Linked DNA regions of Bombyx mori. The protein of the gene in region 1 binds, or shares a complex with, the protein of each later gene. Links are inferred from orthologs where the notes say so. Each region holds a gene or a part of one and is shown on either strand. Other genes may lie near its edges.

The links.
Region 2: transcription initiation factor TFIID subunit 3 (region 1) and Taf13 share a complex: the UniProt entries of both Homo sapiens proteins name them as parts of the TFIID basal transcription factor complex. The link is inferred for Bombyx mori from reciprocal best matches to the Homo sapiens genes TAF3 and TAF13.

Annotation. Positions count from the first base shown.
Region 1 is NC_085113.1:3,410,488-3,421,780, reverse strand, and holds transcription initiation factor TFIID subunit 3, read left to right. Parts: upstream 1-1,735; 5' UTR 1,736-2,021; intron 2,022-2,175; 5' UTR 2,176-2,195; coding exon 2,196-5,732; 3' UTR 5,733-6,677; downstream 6,678-11,293. UniProt on the Homo sapiens protein: The TFIID basal transcription factor complex plays a major role in the initiation of RNA polymerase II (Pol II)-dependent transcription.
Region 2 is NC_085115.1:8,090,093-8,100,788, reverse strand, and holds Taf13 (TBP-associated factor 13), read right to left. Parts: upstream 6,241-10,696; 5' UTR 6,113-6,240; coding exon 6,071-6,112; intron 5,999-6,070; coding exon 5,823-5,998; intron 5,655-5,822; coding exon 5,497-5,654; coding exon of another isoform or gene 5,480-5,496; exon of another isoform or gene 5,346-5,479; coding exon 5,332-5,345; 3' UTR 5,285-5,331; exon of another isoform or gene 3,354-5,284; coding exon of another isoform or gene 3,349-3,353; 3' UTR 3,205-3,348; downstream 1-3,204. Other genes in the region: uncharacterized protein LOC101745370, read left to right, coding at 186-370, 1,100-1,218. UniProt on the Homo sapiens protein: The TFIID basal transcription factor complex plays a major role in the initiation of RNA polymerase II (Pol II)-dependent transcription.

The DNA of each region.
Region 1 (11,293 bases):
TCCGACATAGAGTTGGATCGACCCATATCTATCCGTGGGTGTCATAAAAGACAAATTTCGGACTTCTTCTGACTATGTTGGGAATACTATGCTGTCGTTGACATAACAATAGCGTTTCCAGCATCGTAAAACTCATGCCAAATCCCTATACAGCATAATAAAAGGACACACTGCGCTGACCTCATATAATGTGGAATAAGGGCAAGAAAAAGAAGAGACATTAGTTTTCTGGAATATCTTTTTTTTTTTTTATGATTGAAAGTTTACTGGTGGCCCGAAGGCCTTTCCAGTTTCACCAGGACAGGTGGGCGAGCAAAGGTTCAGCCAAGAGGGGTGGGATTTGCTAACAACTGCCCGAGCGCCTCCGAAGGAGACCTAACAACTCAAGAGCAATTGTTTCGCGAATGAATCTACTACCGGATCGGAATCGCGACCCGCTGAGAAGATCCGGCGAGAAACTCAGCGGGCTGATGCATGGGTTAGGTTGCACGTCGACCTCTTTGTCGAGTTCGACGAGTACGGTTACCGGGGTCCCTAAGCCTGCCCCTAGTATTAGAGCTGAAGGCATCTAATGCAAAGGTTATTGGATCTGATGGATCCGTAAGGACGTGTCTAGGGCGTCGACGGTGACTGGCTCCTGCATGATCAGGATTCGGGGAGTAGTCAACGGCGGCTACGATAAGGCGATTATCATGACGCATAGCCTTATCGAAGTATCGTTCCGACGCTGACTTCATGTATTTCCGAATTGATTCGAGGCCCAGGTCGTCGTGTAGGTCAACGTTCCTCACGAACCACGGAGCCCCGACAGCTAACCTGCAAAAGCGGGATTGTAGGGATTGGAGGGTGTCTATGTGTGTGCGGGCCGCGTGAGCGAACACCACACTCGCGTAAGTCATGACGGGCCTTATGCAAGTTTTGTAAAGTGTCACCTTGTTCCGAAGGGACATTTTACTCCGCTTACAGATCATGGGGTAGAGTCTACCGAGAATAAACGCGGCACGGTCACGGACTGATTTTATATGCGGGCGGAATGTCATCGATGCATCCAGGGTAACGCCCAGGTACTTGACCTTCCTGGCCCAGGGTATGGGTTGTCTAAAGAGAGTAATCGGGGGTGTGAGATTCCTCCTCCTAATCCGGGAGGAAATCCGTGTGGAGCTTCCCCTCTGAAATAGCACCGCTGTACTTTTCGCTGGGTTGATGTCTATGCGCCATTTTCGGAACCACTGTACTAGGGCTAGGGCTGCGCTCTGAAGCTTCTTTGCGATTAGGGACTTATTTCTACTAGAATAGTAAACAGTCGTGTCGTCGGCGAATAAAGCTAAATGGGTCGGCGGCGACCGGGGAATATCGTTGACGAATAAGCTAAATAGGAGGGGTGAGAGGACAGAGCCTTGCGGGACTCCAGCTGTGAGAGGTCGTGGGGAGGAGCGGGTTCCCTCGACTCGATATCGAAAAGAGCGGTTTGACAAGAAGTCCCGTATGATGAGCACGAGACTATCCGGCACGCCCATGTTGAATAGTTTGAAATCTGGAATATCTGTGTTAAAGATCACCCAAGCTTAACCGATTATGAGGATTACGGTAGCTTAATTTTTTTTTAATTATTTATTTGATTTAAACAAAAATAAACTAATTGAAAGGAAATGAATTAAAAAGAAACTATAAATAAAACATCTTTGAATAAAGTCGCAAAGCAAATGCTCCCTGTAATCAATTTTAGTCTATCACTAGTATCATTGAACGCTGCCATAAGAAGACCGCCATTTGTTTATTTTCAAATAGCAACACTCGACATTGACAACCCAAAATGCAATCATGGCGCACGGGGTACTGTGTTTTTAGAATGCTGAGAAGTTTTTACGTAAACACTTCGTTAATTTATATTGCCATCGATTTGTGTGTTTTTATAAATTACCCTTGACTTTATATAATCATAGTTAAGCATACATGTATGTACAAAACTTGAGAATTTCAGCAGTTCAGAACCACGTCTCTGTACTACTGGACACTTGCAGGTATAAAAATCACGAGTTTCCTTGTTTTACCACTTTGACGGCTTGTAATATGATTCTCTGTGATCGAAAATGCTTGTACAGCATTTCTTCGCTTCGACGCCATTTGAATTATGCTGATTTATGTTTATAATACCGATATAAACATTTGTTCCAGATAACGTTGTTGGTGTCATAATGTCAGAGGCGTACGCCCGCGAGATACTACGGAGGAATGTTGCGCAAATATGCCAAACTATAGGATGGAACGGCATAAACTCAACGCCACTTGACATTTTGGTACATGTACTGGAGAAATATATCAAAACCCTTGGCATCCAAGCCAGTAGGCATGCTGAACAATTTAATAGGACTGAACCAAATTTACATGACTTAGGATTAGTATTCCGTGACCTTAATGTGAATTTGCCGGAGCTTGCTGAATATGTGCGTTGTGTACCTCCTGTTCCACCTCCAGTAAACTCTGTTAAATTCCCAAAACCGAAAGAATCGAACTTAAACTTCTTAAAACCAGGAAGTCATGAAGTTGTCACAAGGCCCATGCACGTGCATGAGCATCTGCCTCCTATGTATCCAGAGAAAGAGAGAGACACACCGGCTGTTGCAGGCACTATTGAAATACATCAAAATGGTATTGATAATGTCACTAGCAATAATACCATATGTACAAGTCCAGAAATATCTGTCACAGACAGTCCTGAGAAATCAAAGGAAATTTTTAAGAGACCAATTGATCCTGTTTCTTTACCTAATAGTAAAAGGCCACGGTTACGCTTAGAGGAAGAGGAGAGAACGAGAGAAATAAGTAGTGTGATGATGACCATGTCTGGTTTTCTGTCACCAGCCCGTGAAGGTAAACTTCCCGAAGCCCGTCCTCCTACAATTATAGCAGAAAAGCACTTTGAAAAGCACAAAGTTAATTCTCATACAAATGTAACTAAACCTCCAATTTTAGAAAAAGTTGATAAGAAATCTAAGAAAAATAAATTACCTAATGGTAAAATTATGAAGAGTAAAAGAAAAGATAAACATAAGAGTGAAAGTGGTAAAAATAAGGACAGTAATAAATTAAATAAATTTCCTCCTGGTTATCCTGTAAAAAGTAAGGATGTGCAGCCCAGACACCATAATCATATAACTATGCCAGCGCCTGAAGCTGCCCCTCCACCTCCTCCTTCAAGAGCAAAGATGGCACCTCCTCCTGCACTGGTGCCTATTCCAGAGCCAGTAAAACCTGTCATAAAACAGGAACCATTGGATCCTCCGTCACCAATATCCAGAAGGCTTTCTGTTGAAGATGCAATACCGGTCCCTAGAAAAATTCCAATCTCATTATCTCCTCTAGTATCTAATTCCATCACCACACCTAAACAGCAGTCTATGAGTAATTCTCTCATTCCTCACACTGAAATAAAGAGAGAAGTTTTAGATGAAGATGAGAAATTGGCCTCTCAACCTGATAAATCAAAGATTAATATATTTAAGAGAATAACGAACAAATCAAAAGAAGATAAGACTACTCCAGAGGTTGTAAATGATAAAGTAAATCTTGATGCTACTATTTCAAGGTTGCAAAATGCATCACATCAAAATTCAGTTCATAAGTCAAATGAAAATGCAAGAATGAAATCTGAAGTGATAGACCAAATTGTGAACAATAATGACGATAGTGCTGTAGATTTGTCTAAAGTGATGGATTTAAGAAGTAATGAAGTGATTAATATTGATGAGGATTCTTTGGACAGAAACCCTACACCACAGCAAAGACAACTACTGGAATCTAAACCTAATATATCAATCAACAAGTCCTTACAAACCCCTTTTCCCAAAGATCTACCGAGTGTTAGTCCTAAAGTTAAAAAAGAGAAAAAACACAAAGACAAGAAAGATAAAGCAGCAAAATTAGAAGCTAAATTGTTGAAGAAGCAACAACAACAATTAGCCTATGAAATGGCACAAGCTGAAAAGCAAAGTATGAAATTGGCTGGAATGAAACAACATAAAATCAGTAGACAGAAAAATGAATCAAAATTGCCACAAATGCCAGCTGGTTTTCCATTTTTTCATACAATGCCACCTGGAAGAGGTCTTATGCCCGGCCCTGGTCTCATCCCGAACCCTGGATTGATACCAGGAAGTGAATTCTTCACTGGTCTAGCAAACAATCCAGCACTAAGAGGTATGCCACCCTGTAATTTATTAAACAATCCATTTGCTTTGGGAACCAGTGGTCCTGGTCTCATTCCTGGTCCTAGTTTCTTACCTGGAGGCTTGAATTCTCCTCTGATGCCTATGGGAAATTTTGCCCAATCATCGAGATCTTCTTCCGTTAAAATACCACCAATGCTCCGTCGACCGAGTTTGGAGGTAATAGCAGTAGAAAATGATGAGGACAGAGGTATTCATAAGTCTTCAATGAATCGTGAAAAGGACCGCCACGATAAGCACAAATCTCAGACCATTCCAAATATATTACAGAAACACAAGTCTAAGTCGCATAAGGATCACAAGGCTAATTTGTTCAAAATGCCTCTTGTACAACCAGACATAACAATTGAACTGAATCCTCCGAAATCAGAAGGTATTAGACATCATGAGCCACCCCGGGATGCACTCAATCAAGCTCGTGTGTCTGCTCCAGCCAGGCCTGTAGGACCTACGCCACCAATACCTCCACGTGTGCCTATCTCCAAGCCTGATCCTGAATCTGAACCGGTAAGGGAAATGCCTCCCGTCAGGATGGCTACACCGGATTCTATTCTAGAAAAAGACACCGAAAACACAGATAAAAAGAAGGATAAATCCCATAAAAAAGAAAAGAAAGACAAAGATGGTGTAAAAATTAAAAAGAAGAAAGATAAAAAGGACAAAAACAAAGATAAGTCTGAGAAAAAGCGCGATAAAGAAGAAAAACAAGAATTAAAAGATAAAATAAAAAAAGAAAAGAAAGAGAAGAAAAAAGATAAAATTGGCGATGGTCTTGTTCCGAAATTGACGTTGAAAATAAGTTCTTCAAATTCTAATTCACCTATGCCACCAAGCTCGCCCGATACTTTCAAATTAAATATAAAACCTGTAGTGAAGAAAGAAGAAGAGGACAGTCCAGTAAAAGACGAACCTTTGTCCAGGGAGCACAGTCGTTCGCCTGAGTTAGCTCAGATTTCGGCTCTCGTTACTAGACCACCCAAACAAAAACATTCTAAACACAATCACCTCGCAGACGGAGAGCCTCAGCCCTCGCCGCCCCCCTCGGGCAGCTCACCGCCCGAGAAGGGCACGCCCTCGAGTCATTCGAAATACAAAAGGATATTGTTCAAGCCGTTGGCGAAGAAGGGCCACGAGCACTTTGAAGACGAAATCGCAACGTTGTCTGAGGAACCGGCCGTGGCGCCGGCACCCGCCCCCGCCCCGCCCCCCGACACTAAGCTCGAACCCCTCCCTACCCCTTATTATGTTGATGAACAGGGCAACAAAATATGGGTTTGTCCGGCGTGCGGCAGACCGGACAACGGTTCGCCGATGATCGGCTGCGACGGATGCGATGGCTGGTACCACTGGGTGTGCGTGGGCATCACGGAGGAGCCGGGCGCCACGGAGGACTGGTTCTGCAAGTCGTGTATCGCGAAGCGCGCCGCGATGGCGCTCGCCGGCGTCACTTCCGGCAAGAAAAGAGGCCGGAAACCCAAAGGGGAAAAAATCAGAGACTGTCATTAATACGGACCTTATGTTGTTACTGAGATTAGTTTTAATATCCTTTCGATAGGCAAGAGTGAATGGATGAGAGTTGTTAATGGATTAATTGTTGAATAATATCACGAAGAAAAATGTTTTCATCATTTATAATGTTATATCATAGGCTCGATTAAGTATAGATAATAATTGAATATTGACATAAAATGTTGAACATAAAATATAGTGTAGTTACTTGTAATAATTTTACCAATAATTCTAAATATTTTGTTACGATTTCTCGTTTATTTTCTTTCGCTCGGTTAGATCAAGATTAACTTACGCGAGCGCGTTATACACATCTCGCGTGTAGGTATGTATACATAGATGATAATATAAGATTCTTTTTATATTGTACAAAAACTGAATTTACTTAAGAAATTGGTGATGTATAAAGTAATGTAGTGAATATTTAATAAACAGAAGAAGGCTGGATGCATTTTCAGCTGATATTTGAATATTTTCATATTATGATTTTAATATAACCCTGTTTATTTCTGTTGTTTTACTTTCGTTTTGTACAAGGCAAGGACGATCGTGTGATTTTGGCGCCAAAACAAATTCGTTATCCAGTGCGGATACTTCACACGGCTTGCTTACTTGCGACATCTGGCTGAAGGGAGGGGGGCCAATGTATTTGTTTTATTTCAGCCATGGCCAATTAAATGTATTGGTTCTCGTAATGTAGTACATTATTTAAACCCATAATCACGGTTTTGTGTACGGTAAGACGTTCGGGGTATGGGAACGCAAAAATTGCAAATGATAATTCCGAACTTCTGTGTGATTATTATAACGAGGCCTGATGTGATCTTTGCTGTGTGGTCTTGTAATTTAATTTATTAAACAATCTAAACCCTTTTATTCTTTCGTCCACAATTCACCTACCATATTGTCAAAGATATGTATGAAATATAAAATTTGAGTCAACTTTTTTGAAGTTTACTTTTTCTAAATTATTTATGTATTTTAACGTGTTTGATGAAGCTGAGTCAAAATATTTATCGACTGGGCAATTTGTAACCTTCAATTTACTTGTGGGCTCATTCAGTGTGTGAAGAAGAGATTCATATTTTGTAGTGGAATTTGTATTTGTCTTTTACGTGTTGAAATGTTGAAATTATAGTATAATTTTCAGTTCTTGCATGGTTTCTAACTTAATATCATCAACGAACAGTGACTCAAGTTGCTTCAACACATTTGGTCATTTTGTATATTTGCGGCAGTCGCTTAGAGGCTTGACCAGTGAGCTCAGTGCGAGTTTCTAAAGTTCTCGACCGCGTAAAAGTTAACTCAAATATGTATGAAGCTGGAACAGCGCCCCTAGCGGCAAACGTATGGGGCACGAGAAGTTAAGAAACTTACTAAGCATAATGATCCAACCGTGACAAAAATGTATCTAAAACATTCTATACATATTGAAATTATAATATATTATGCTCTTGGTTCTTTGTATGTAAACTTTTAACAGTTATGAAAAAGTACAAAAACACGCTATTTATTTATTTAATTGTAACATGTTCTATTAACGTTTTGTGAGTCAATCCGCGGAATCATCTCTTTCACATTTCTACCTCCATACGTAATAGCCTGTGATCACCTCAGTGTGCTTAGTGCGAGTTTTTTAACGTTCTCGATAGCGTAAAAGTTACCTCGTATTTGTACGGAACGGGAACGTTTGCGTACGTTTGCCGCTAGGGGCGCTGTTCCAACTGCACACGGCTTCACTTTTACGCTATCGAGAACGTTAAAAAACTCGCACTAAGCACACTGATAACGTCTTAAGGTCCCTACTACTTTGACAAAGCAGTCCGACACGATAACACGGCAACGCAAAGACGTCCTCACCCGAAACATGTCTTGTTAAATCATCTGAATCCACTCACCGTGCTTTTAGGCCCCTCAAGCAACGTCCTCGTCGGAATCGATCATTACGACGAAGAGTTCGACGAGCGAATTAGCCCAGATACAACCCACTGAGTTTCTCGCCGGACCTTCTCATTTGGTCGCGATTCCGATCCGATCTTGATAGAGGTAGCACTAGCAAATTCTCTCAGGTTAAGTCCTCGAACTCCTAGCTTTTGTCTACCTATCTGCCATTGGCTTATTCTGGCTTCCCTATAACTCGTGGGCGAGTTCACAGGACTCAGCCTGAAATACTGCAAGACAACGTGACTTAATCTGTTCCGCAAGTCGATCCCATAGGTTTGTGAACAATTTTTACGATCGTTAACATTAGTACATTGCAACATTGTCTAAGACTTCCGGGACCGGGTAGTTTCTCGTATTATCAACATGTACATTTCTGATACCACCGTCCTGTGCTTTTCGTTTTATTTTATTTTTACAGCTCTATAGATGCGAATGCTCACGGCTCTTTTAGTGTTGAGGATAGCGTAGTGCATACACATCATATAAGTACCACCCACTCGCAAATGATCTCCGCTCACTCATTTAGAACAGCACGTCTAATACCAAAACTTTTTTTTTTGTAAAAGACTATATTCATATAGTTCAATTACAAATATTAGGTATTTTTCACGACACGCATTGTTTCTCTAGAAATCTTCGGGACTAGCAACTAGATGGCGCTGCAGTCGAATTTGGCTCATAAAACAATGTTGGTAGTGAATTGCAACACTAATATGTGAAATGAACTCAAATTTCCAACTTAACTAATCGCTTTAATACAATGTTTTACTGGTAGGACGTATTGTAAGCCCATTAAGACAGTTACCACTTTAATGCCTACATTTGCCACTTGGTTGCCACGAAGCAACCAAGCGTTCCGCTTTGAAAGATGAGACAGATAAAATACAGCTTTTTTTTCTTAACTATGCAGATAGAATCGAATCGAATTCCCAGAATCTACCACCAGATCGGAAACGCGACCCACTGAGCAGATCCGGCGAGAAACTCTGTGGGCTGTGTCTATGGGTTAATTTATTAGTCGAGCCCTTCGTCGCAAGCGACGGGTTCGGCGAGGACGGTGACTGGTGCTTGAGGTACCTAAAAGCACCGTTAATGGATCGGGAAGATCCGTAATAACGTGATTAGGGTGACGTTGACTGTTTACCATTCGGTCCATTGGATCGGGTATGTAATTTCCGGCGGCCACATGAAGGTTTTCGTGTCGCGCCGCCTTCTCAAAGTGGCACTGGTGCCGACTGAAGATACCTACCTATTGTTGGAGTCAAGCTCCAGATCATCATGGAGATCCACGTTCCTCATGAACCATGGTGCTCCGACGGCTATCCTGCAAAATCAGGATTGAATGACTTGAAAGGGTTTCAAATTAGTGCGGGCCGCTTGAGCGAACCCTACACTTGCATAGGTTATGACAAGTTTGGTAAAATGTCACCTTATTACGAAGGGGCAATTTACTTCGTTTGCAAATCATCGGATAGACATTTCACAAGCAATACTCCGTCATTTAAGTAGTAATTAAATTAAGTATAGTAACCGGCAAACTTCTTGAGCAAATGACCTTGACTGCGCAGAACCGAATTTTAGATCACTTTGGTGGTGAGGGTGAGGCGCGACGGCAGGGGAAATCGTATCGAGCGCGTTATTGGTAGATCAGTCGAACCTTGCGTCCCGCACCGCGCCCTCTTTCCGCTTGCTCCCAAAAGTACGCTTGCGTACAGTGAAAAGTCTATCGTTATTAATTGTTAAGTTATTTGTTATAATTGCTTGTTGACTTTGTTGCCATTTCTATATGTTGAGTGTTTGTTGATTTTTTATAAAAAATACACTATGCCGCGACAAACTGGTGTAGTAATCAAAAGAAAGGGTAGAAAAATTGTGTACGACGTATATTGCTTCATTTTAAAACAGGAGAAGGATGATGATGGTCAAGATTATGATAACGAAAAAAAAATTACAAGTACCAGCTTCGCTTCAACTGAACGAAGACCTGGCAACAGCTCTAGTTTTGACTTAATAGAAGGAATATCTATTTTACCCCAAGATCAAATTATTACAATTATTAACCTATATTTTTTGTTGATGTTTTAATAAATATATAAATAAATACATAATAATTATGTTGATATTAATAATTTAATAGCATTATGACGCAGAATAAATAATGTTTTTGCACGTGAGTGTACCATGCGCGAACTTACCCCCACTACGTCGACAAATGCTCAAGAAGTTTGCCGGCTATTATAGATACGTTGCGTTTCACTTATAAAATACGTATCAGTCATTAATGGTATTTTAATTAACAATCAGCTGGAACGTATTATGGTACGACGTTACAAATCGGTATTTAGTATTTTAGTAAATGTTTAATAAAGTTTCATATTCTGATGCTGTCGATACGTAAATCATATGAGCTTTTTTTATTGCATTGATGCGTAGTTGAGAACACGGCCCATCTGATGTTAAGTGATTATTGAAGCCCGATTGCATCACATTGTGAATGCCGCCAGCCATTTTGAGATATGAGCTCATATTGCCGTAGAAATAGGCAAGCCCCTACTTACCCGTGCGGGCTTAAAATACGCCTAAAATACCAGTAATTGTCTAGAAAAATTTATTAAATGTATTTATTGTGTCATGCTTGGATTGCCTTAATTGTTTTTTTTTGGAAATTACCATTTAATTTTTATTAATTTAATAAGTAAGAACTGACAAGAACTTTCAATGGCTTATTTAACGGCCGAATAAAACATGTGATAATTTTGTAATAAACAATAAAATACTTCGAGTTTAGCTTTTGTAAAATGTGAAATCATGATGTATTTAATTAATAAATGACAATATCTTGAGATTATTGCCACGAAAACTTAACACCACTAAACTTGTACAGCCTTTAACTTCATAAATAATTTCCCTTCTAAATCTAGTTATTGCACAATTTGAATTAACAAACATAAATAAATTGCTATCTGCATGACGGAGCATCGCTTCAGAAACGCTTGAGCTATCTGACGAATTTATTCTTCGTTGTGTAGGTACAAAATTGGAAAACCCACAAAAAAAATCTTAATCTTAGTGCGAGAGGGATTTTACCAGTTTTTTCATATGACAAAATATTCACTTTTTTCATGGACACGACATATTGTCCAGATACAGACATCCTTGGGCGGTTGAGTGAGTGTGGGAGTTGAACCTTCTCCACTTCATAAAGATAGCAACAGACAGGATGAGGAAGGCGCAGTACTGTCTAAGCATGTTTTTCATTGCTTAGATGGGTGGACGATTTCACGGCAGACCTGGTGTTAAGTAGTCATTGGAGCCCATAGACATCTACAACGTAAATGCCGCCACCCACCTTGAGATATGAAGTCGTCGTGGCCTAAAGGATAAGACGTACTCAACAACTGTTCACGATTGACTTCTACGGTGAAGGAATAACATCGTGTGAGTCCGCACGGGTAGGTACCACCACCCCGCCAATTTCTGCCGTGAAGCAGTAATGCGTTTCAGTTTGAAGGGTGGGGCAGCCGTTATAACTATGCTGAGACCTTAGAACTTACATCTCAGGGTGGGTGGCGCATTTACGTTGTAGATGTCTATGGGCTCCAGTAACCACTTCA
Region 2 (10,696 bases), on another chromosome or scaffold:
ACAAAGTTATTTCAGTTTCTCAAACCGGGAGTGTTGCTAACACTGGCCCTAGCAAGAGCAGTACTTCGATGGATCAGGAGGATCCGTAATGACGTGTTTAGGGCCGATTTTTGTAGTTTACCTGAATATTTGACAGAATTGGATTTAGCTGCTTTGATTTTATAGGCCTCATTTGGTTTGTTCAGTGACACGCGGGACGGGTTGCGCGTGACGTGCGCGCCCGTGGCGGGCGGGCGCGTGGTATCGGCGGCGGGCGAGGGGCGGGCCGCCTTCGCCGCCCACACGCGCGCGCTCGCCTACGACTGCGAGCTCGACGCCGTGCTCGACAGCGTCGTCGGCAACTGCAAGGACTGCTTCATATCGCTGCGAGGTCAGTTGTCATTCTCATTATTCAGCACCAATCAGTGCGCTCAGTGCAAGTTTTTAACGTTCTCGATAGCGACAGCGCCCCTAGTGGCAAACGTAGGTAAACGTTCCAACTCCATAAAATTTGAGTTAACTTTTACGCTATCGATAACATTAAAAAACTCGTACTAAGCACATTGATATCTTCCGTTACATCTATTTGTTTCTTGAAAATAAGTTTGTATATCTGATACAGTTAAGAGATAAATTGGTACGTAATAAATTTAAAAGACGTTGTTTATTTATGATTAATACACTAAACTTTATTAAATACTAGCTTTTGCCCGCGACTTCGTTCGCGTGGAATAGTTACTTTGGCATAACGCTAAATTTTACCTCCCACTTCATTTACGTAAAAAGTGAAAATATTTTTGAATTATAGAATATTAAGGAGCTATTTAAACCCCTATTTTGAAACATTCTTTATTGGTACTCCACTTGTATTGTCTTACCGTTAGCCTATAGCCTTCCTGAATAAATGAGCTATGTAACACTGAAAGAATTTTTCAAATCGGACCAGTAGTTCCTGAGATTAGCGCGTTCAATCAAACAAACTCTTCAGCTTTAAAATATTAGTATAGACAATACGTCAATGACGTCTTGTGGCGTTCCATTCTAGAAGGCCTTGGTCATAATTGACTGAAACGGATTACTATAATTGCAATTTAAATTAATTGATATTTATGTATTTCAGGTATATCGGACTATCGCGACGGCACCCGTGGGAAGGACTGGCAGCCCCACGCTGCACTATGCGCTGCTGCAGTCATGAAAGCCATAATCTGCGCAATAGACCCACCTCCTTCTGAATAATTTTCTTATCAAACGACTAGAAATCACAAAATGAATTACCACACAATATCTTACGCTATATTCTAAATAACGTGTTCAAAGTTATTCTCAAGATATAGATGAAAGAAATCTTAAACTTATTTAAAATTAACTCGTTATTAAATACATACCTTCAACAATTATTTATTTACAATTTTCAGTCTTATGTTAAATATTTTAGAACACAGATAACAAAAAAATGTGCTTGATACAGATTTACTAAAGCCACCTCTATAACAACAAATGTTTCTTTGTAAATTTGTTCTCTAGGCATTTCTAAATTGTTGATGTGATTTTAAGTGAAATTGAATATATATTTTTTTTTTTATTGCATATACGAGTGGACGAGCTCACAGCCCACCTGATGTTAAGTGGTTACTGGAACCCATAGACATCTACAACGTAAATGCGCCACCCACCTTGAGATATAAGTTCTAAGGTCTCAGTATAGTTACAATATATGATAGGTAGTTCAGAGATTTGTTATAGTACCATCAGGGTACAACAGGTGGCGCACGGGTAGTTTCAACAGATGATAGATCACTGCCAAGGGAGTTTCAGTTGGGTTTAATAATTGAAGGTTCTTAATTACAATTGTATTGTGTGGTCAATATATTTACGTGAATGCTTTATAGCACAGCACACTATAGCACTGAAACTTGACATTGATATGATAAGTTGATAAAAATAATTAATTTAAAACATATATGGAAGTACAAGTATGGAGAAACTATAGTTGCCTTGGATGTCTGCCATAAGATGAATCACATCAAGTGATAATAATAAGCTAAAATATATATCCTGATGTCATAGATAAAATATATTTACTAGATGTACATGTTTACTATAATATTTACATGCAGATTATAGGCAGACTTGTTGAGATTTTTTTGTAAAAGAAACAGAGAAAAATACTGGTGATTTACCAACAGATTGCTGTTCCAATCCATTCAACTAATTTTACGCTCAAAAGTAATGTCTTCCTGTTCTAATTTCTTTAGATCGGCAAAGAAAGTTCACGATGAAATTGATATTATGTAACTTTTACAAATTAAGATTGCAATGTCATTCCATTTAATGATATTTAAACAATAATTTATCAGCCCGAGCTTAGAAAGTATCTTAGGTTAATAAATTTAGAACTAACCTATTTATATTGTACTAACTGCCATAGACGGCCTATTTATAATATGAAATGTTTAAAATCTGTTATGAAAAAAACCAAAGTATGGACTTTTGATGTTTTATTGAACATCAAGTCTAGTCGCCTCTATTGTGAAACATTGTTAAAATATTTATTACAACCTACTTGGTGGAACATTGTATTTTTAAAATTAATATGTTTATAGATTGTTGACAAAAAAAACTTCATATAATATCAAGTTATTATTGTACCTACCAACATATTATAGACAAATATTAACCTAAAAGGATGTATGTAAAATTGTTATTTTATTTAATCATTAGAATAATAATATATTGCATAAATTTAATACAGAAAATTTAATTTTTTAAATTTTCTTTGCCACTAACTTTAATTTCTAGTATTGTTTATTTAGTGTTTACTGTATTTGCGCACAAATAAAGTTTACATATTAATCAAGTATGATTTTCTTTCAATTTGAATTTTTTTGTTAAAGAACTTAGAACAGTCCCTGTACATGATAATATATATTAGTTCCTTTTTTTAATCAGGGCCTAATCAAGGTCTTACACGTCATCTGGTCCAAAAGTAAGTTTTCCCGAACAGTATTAACAAATAAAAAATAAGGGTTGATCGTAGAGGGGTGAAAATTTAGGGTTGTATGTATTTTTGTATGCTGTATCATAAAAAAAATTGTCTAAAAAATAAATATTTTTTTTTAGATAAGTCATAGAGCAAAAAACACAATCTTTTTTATTTTATTATTATATTTAACAAACATTACTAAATATTCTAATACTACTCTGAAGAAAAACAAACAAGGATATTTGTCAGTAAGTTTTATTACTTATTACCTTACTAGCTTAATAAATTCATAATATCAAATAGTTAATTCATTTTTCATTTCACTGCTCTCCAAAGTCCCAAATTGGTATTACTTTTATCAGGTCCAATTATGTTTTTGGTATTCATTCTGAAATTTTAAATGCATAATTAGCCTATTACTCAATTTATTAACAATAAATTACTCCCCCACCAACAAACCTTGTTGGTGGAAACAAATTTGCAATTATTTAACATACAATTTTGAACACAACACATATATTTCCCATTAGCAACACAAATACTATTATGCTACAATTGCTAATCCTGTTGTTTTCTCTTAAAAAACATTCTACAGATAGTAGTGCTTTAATTTCTTTATCAAGCCAAACAGTTTTATGTGATATATCTAGGGTTAGAGTACCTATAAAGTAGTACAAGATGTAAATATTAGACATTCATTTCATTAGTACACAAATTCTCATATCCTAACATGCTAACTGTTCAAGCTGCTATCTCTTGCCAAAACACAACTTTCAAATACCAAAGTGCAAAAGTAACACATAAATTAACAATAAACAATAAAAATGCTTATGCAATATGAATTTCTAAACGTGAAAACATACGTGAAATTAATTATTATTGTTAAACAGATTATTTGCAATTTTTTTTTTGATAGCGGCATTGCATGGATGTCTTCCAGCTTCACCAAGATAAGGCAGGCCAGGTTGGACTTAGGCAGGAGGGGCAAGATTTGGAGATCAGTCAGGAGTAGGTTGATCCCCAGGAGCTTACCTACCAAATTGCAGCAATAAGTTATGGTCTGATTTTGTGCCAATGAAGCATCATTTGCAGGAAGAATTGCTTTCATTCAAAGAAAACAGCAGCTCAAGTGCATTGAGAAAATGTGAATGAAGCAACATGGCATTGATTGGTTCCGTCGCTCCACAGATGCGAAAGATGAAAACCTATTGTTCGATGAGGATTCATATCAAACATAAGATCAGCTTGTTTCGATATTAAGGGTTGCAAGCCAAGATTGGGCATATCCACTAGTGGGTAACACTTGATTCCCTTTAGAAGTGAAGCCAAATGATGTTGAACATTGTCTTTTCATCTGTGAACGACTACTCCAACAGTACAAAAGAAAGGGTTTTGCAATGATGAAACACACGGGGAGGAAAAGGACTAATGATAGACTCCCCGTTAATGTTTCTACATCATTGCCACTGCCAAATATTCAGCTTACGAAGGTTATACTGTGTATTTGGTGCAATCAGGTTGGCATTATATATTAAGAGCTGTGGAGCTGAACAAAACCTCCACTGAAGAATGATATAGAATATAATTAATGCAGTGAAGCTTAATGCAATGCTTACACTGCATGAAAAATGCCCACAAAATGAGCAGAGACACAAGAAAGTGATGCTCCTGCATGATAATATTAAGCTCCACAGTCCCAAATATTTTGCTGTTCGATTATTCTTTGTTCCATTTGATGGTATCTACTTGGCTGGTTGTTCCATTCATATACAGATATCAAACAATAGCTTAGTTTCATTCATAGATAATCTCAAAAATGACACTTCTATTTACCAAGGAGGTATTTGAACTTTGCCACAAAGATGAGAAAAATTGTGGCTAGTAATAGAAAATACTTTCATGATTCATTTGTGAGATTTTTTTTTAATAAAAATGCATATTCATTAAGAAAAATAGAATTTAGTTTTCACAATCAGATTCACATGCTACAATTTGGGCAAATACTACTTAACAGAACATTCTATAATATCGTTTGCACAAGGTCTTCTAACTCTATTACTATAATGATAACCTTATTGTTTATAATACACTGGTGATCACAATAAAATTTAAAAAAGTAGGTACTAAATATTATATATTTGATAGTAAATAAATATTATATTATATAGTATAATTTACCATACATTTAAAGTAATCAAAACAAATTACAGATACATCTACATTCAGGATCTTATTAAATTTACAACCATTCATGACATTAGTGTTGTTGTGAATGTGCAAACACAAAAGCAGTGTTATAATTAAATATATGTTACTTGCATCAATCAGTCTAGAAGCATGGCGTCGGTTGTATGGCCACAGTATGGTTACTGTTGGTCCTCTATAATTTCAAAACATTTCAATACAAACATTAATAATCACACTTTAGATGAAACATCTCAAACTGAAACACTACAATGATAGTAATATAGAATTGGATTTTTTAATGGGAATAAATTCACTCAAATTTTACAATCAAATGTACAACTCACCAACATATTTTACTTCATCAAAAGCTTTTCTAGCTTTCTTAAGTTCCTCATTCATTGTAAGAAGGTCTTTAACACGTGCATACTTTCGTGCATCTTTACGAACTAAGAAAATTATGTCTTCTACTTGGACTCTTCCTGTTCTACCAACTTCCATTGCCCTGTTATATATATTTTTAGTATTGTACTATTTAAATCTAGGATTGCATGAGTTCATGAGTCCACCTGGTGTGATGTGGTATACGGAGTGAAACACAAACATGAATATAAAGAAGAATAAAAATATTGAAGTTTTCTCAAGACACAAAAAAGTTTTTTTTTTATCTTACCTATGTGTTGTTTCTGTTATAAATTCAATAACTAAGTCTTCTAAAAAATCGACACTTTCAGTATACGGGTTTTGATCATCACCAAATCCATACATCATACATCTCAATTCCTTACTAAAAAGTCTTTTACGACCAGATGTAGTTCCACCTAACTGTTGCTCTTCTTCTTCATCAAACTACAAAGCAATACTTTTATGTACACAAAAGAACAAAAAAATAAACAAGCAACGGAAAATCAATAGTTTTACCTGGTCAAAGTTATCTTGCGAATCAGGAGTGGGAGTGGCCATGATATTGATTTACTAAAGTTTTTTTGTAAAACTTAAAACGTTTATTTGTAGAAATTTTACATAAATAAATAGTCAGTAGTGGTAGTAGTTTTGTTGTGGATTTTAAAACAAACGAGTTAAAGTAAAACAATGAACATCTTTTATTTTATGGAGAATGACATTGACATAGAGTTTTTTTAAGGGATTTTATGACCTGGTAACTGAGACCTTTAAGTCATGAAACAAAATGAAAAAAATGCTCTAGCAAAATATGCTAATATATATGATTTGCTAGTGGAGCCATGTGGCATTTTCAATAGCCAAGAGCGCCCATATCTTGCTGCATCTCCTGATGGTGTGTTGGGCGAAGAAGCTATAATTGAAGTGAAATGTCCATACGCTAGCAGAAAACATGAAATAAATATATCAACGGTGCCTTACTTAGAACGATGTAACGGGATATTGTCTCTAAAAAATCCTGCCCATACTATTATCAAATCCAAGGACAGTTATACTGCTCAGGCAAAACATACTGCAACTTGGTCATTTACACCTACAAGGACATCAAAGTGATTTATGTTGAAAAAGACAATAATTTTATAAATAATATGTTAAATAAATTAGATATCTTTTATGAAAATATTTTCAAAGAAGCATTGTATAAAAAATATCTGTATTATAACTATACACACTTGTCGAAATAAAAAATCAGGAATATTTTTAATTATTTTTATTGACAATTCCTTCTCTAAAGTTACATAAGTAACTTCTCTACTTTTTGTTTCTTCAGAAACTGGTTTCATATTCCATGAAAATATAGATGGTACAGCACCTTTCTTCAGATATTTATGTTAATGTTTGACACCTGCAACACAAAGAATAACATTTAAATATACTATCACAAGGAAAGCTGACCATAGTTTCAAAATATTTGTTATTGCAATGGATGCAGCGATTTAGATAGAACTTTCAATAGTAACAGCTGATAATGAACAACAGCTCATGAGGAATGTGTTTCCTCCAGTCTGATTTTGTGTTTGTTATAAGGTTCCTTACAGCATGAATCTACTTATTATTATTGGATTTTTTTAATAAGAGAACAATGATGTGTGCTACACCTAGTCATGCATTATATATATTTGACAGAAAGAAGCATACCTGTGTATTTACTAATGTTTTCATAGTCAGATTCCACAAAGTGTTTACGACATAACCTCGAACTTTCTGTATGAATACTTTTTTCGCGTCAAATGGCCTTTAACCACAGTCTTCCAATTTTCTTGTCCTTCGGGAATTGATGTACTCCAATTTCTGAGCATATTGGTACAAAACAACGCGTCATTGTGCTTAAAATAATTTTTAATCAAAAATTCCAATACAAATATTGAATGTTATGGGAACAATGCACACCAGCGCCACTTTGACAGTTGCCAACCCCATTGTGACGTCTACCTTGACGATTTTTCTAATATTTATGGAAACTTTAAACAATTTTAACTCGTAAACCGTGAGCCGTGAGTTAAGCCGGTCATAATGAATCCAATGACGTGAGTAAGACATTTTACTAGTTTCATTAATTTACTGCACCATGTTTAAAATGTGGGGTTCCGTTTGAAATTGAACACAAGTGATATTATGAAGATGAGTGATGTGAGGAAAAACAAACGAAACTTTTTGCTGTTGTCATTTTATTCAGTCCTCATTATAATCTAATGGATCAGACACCTAGTGTACTTCTATTGAACTACATATTATTATATGAATTTTCAAACCTTGCAGGAATTTTCAAATTTTTCTAAGGAAATCCATATTAACACATATTCATGAATGTTTTTCACAATGAAGGAATAACATCATGTAATGAAAATCATATCCACAAACTTGAGGTGTGGTTTTGTCAGACTGTACATGTAGGTTCCACAACCATGGGTATTTTTACTGCGAAGCTAGCTCTAGTTGAAAGGGTACATCAGTTGTTTTACTAAAAACTGAAGCCATGATTGAGATAGTCGACTCACTGTTCTCATCACAATGAGACAACAACTTAACACCAGTTGGGCTAGCTATGCTGATGTCCATGAGCAATGGTAACCACTTGCCATCAGATGGGTTATATGCTGTCGGTCTACAAAGGCAATAAAAAAAACTTTCATTTGTTAATCAGCAAATAATATATAAAAAAATTGGCCATATTCCATTGAGTGTTTAATTTTTTACAGAAATGTGAAGAATGTTTTAAAGCTTAGTGAACATGAATTAGGAAGCAGCTCAAAAACTTCTTGGCATGATCAATATAAGGACAGTGCATGGATATTTGTTGGTGGACTTCCATATGATTTGACTGAAGGAGATGTTATATGTGTATTTTCTCAGTAAGGTTTTTCACATTCATTATTACTTGCTGAAATAAAATATATATTTTTTATAGGGAGCTAGTTAATTATGTTTCTTAGATATATAGATATTCAGATATTGCATGAAGCCAATGGACATTTGTCAGTCACTGACCTAGATCTGAGTGTAATAATCATTCTACCAACAGCTATTACTAAGTAATGATCAATTTTTTATTTTATGAAAGGTATGGTGAAATTGTAAATATAAACATGGTAAGAGATAAAACAACTGGGAAACCAAAAGGATTTGCATTTTTGTGCTATGAGGATCAGAGATCAACAATTTTAGCAGTTGACAATCTGAATAGTATTAAGGTAAATATTAAAAGAGAGAATACTACTAAAAAAGAAAGTGAAAAACAGTTTATTATTATGGTGCATCATATGCATTTTATTTTTGTAGTTATGTAGACGTCATGCCCTAAAGGATAAGACATCCTGTGCATTCGTATATAGCAATGCAACAGTGTTCGAATCCTGCAGGCGGGTACCAATTTTTCTAATGAAATACGTACATAACAATTGTTTACGATTGACTTCCACGGTGAAGGAATAACATCGTGTAATAAAAATCAAACCTGCAAAATTATAATTTGCGTAATTACTGGTGGTAGGACCTCTTGTGAGTCCGCACGGGTAGGTACCACCGCCCCGCCTATTTCTGCCGTGAAGCAGTAATGCGTTTCGGTTTGAAGGGTGGGCCAGCCGTTGTAACTATACTGAGACCTTAGAACTTATACCTCAAGGTGTGTGGCGCATTTACGTTGTAGATGTCTATGGGTTCCAGTAACCACTTAACACCCGGTGGGCTGTGAGCTCGTCCACACATCTAGGCAATAAAAAAAATTAAAAAAGTAAAAAAATATTAATTGTTTTGCTATAGATTCTTGGGCGTACATTACGTGTTGATCATTGTGAACAGTATAAGGTTCCAAATGCAGACATGAGCAAAATTGATGAAGTCACAGCTGCAATAAGGATGGAAGGATGTGCTCCAGTTGCCCCAAAAATTGAAATCGTGAAAAAGGTAATAAATACTATAAATCATCACTAATATGCAAAGAAAACACACACACGCACACACGCACACACACACACACACACACACACACACACACACACCACACACACACCACACACACAGAGACACACTTCTGTAATTTTTCTTCGTTTCTCATGCTCTAATCTAGCAAGTTATTCTAATCATCTGTTATTAATTTCCATGATATTGGAATGAACTCACTTCCCATGCCTTACGAGGGGCTCAGAAAAGTGACAGACTATATTGTCATTTGGTGACCATATTGTCTACAATACTGTTGTCTTCGGATTTATGCCTGTTTTTCTTTTGCAGGAAAATGTAAAAGAAGGGAAAGTAAAGAAAAAGAAAAGCAAAGAGAAAAAGAGCAAAAAAAAGAAGAAAAAAATTAAAGGTTCAGGCACTACTTCTAGTGAATGAAAATGTAGAGCGTTCTTTTGATTTAGCTTTTTTATTATAAAATAAACTGGATCGCAAACTGGACGCAAATCATGATTCCTATGGTTTCTGTTGAATTTAAAACAATATATGCAATGAAAAGGTAATCATATAATTTTTCTTGTTTTATGTCTTGTGAGTAAACAAGGAATATAAAACACTTATAATACATTCTTACAGTTTATTATTTCCAAGATTTTCCTCAAAATGTATAATATTATGAAAAACTTTACAGAATAAAATTAAATATAGTAAAATCACAGGGTGGGTTAAAGCTCTACATACATACAATCTATGATTAATACTTTATGACATGGGAAGCCTTCATTTACTGTTTGTTACTGTGTGTAGGTAAGTCTCTATTTTAACACAGACCAATAATACGAATATCGATAACATATCCACACTTTGACGTTCATGAGACTTCTCATATAAAACTAGATGCAGTGAGACAAATGGATATTTCCACAAAGAGATCAATAAATTATTATTTAATAAGTGAAAAAAAAACCTCACAAATAACTACATCGATTGACACAACAGATATCTTTAAAATTTGATGCCATAATAAAAATTTACCTTTAAACATTTTAAATTTCATCCATTTTATACCTATTATGTTGACAGCTTATATCTAAAGAAAATTGGAATATAGGTTCTATTCTTAAGCTGTTGTACATAAATTTATAAAAAAATCCGATACACTATGGGGGCTTTTAGTATTCAAAATGT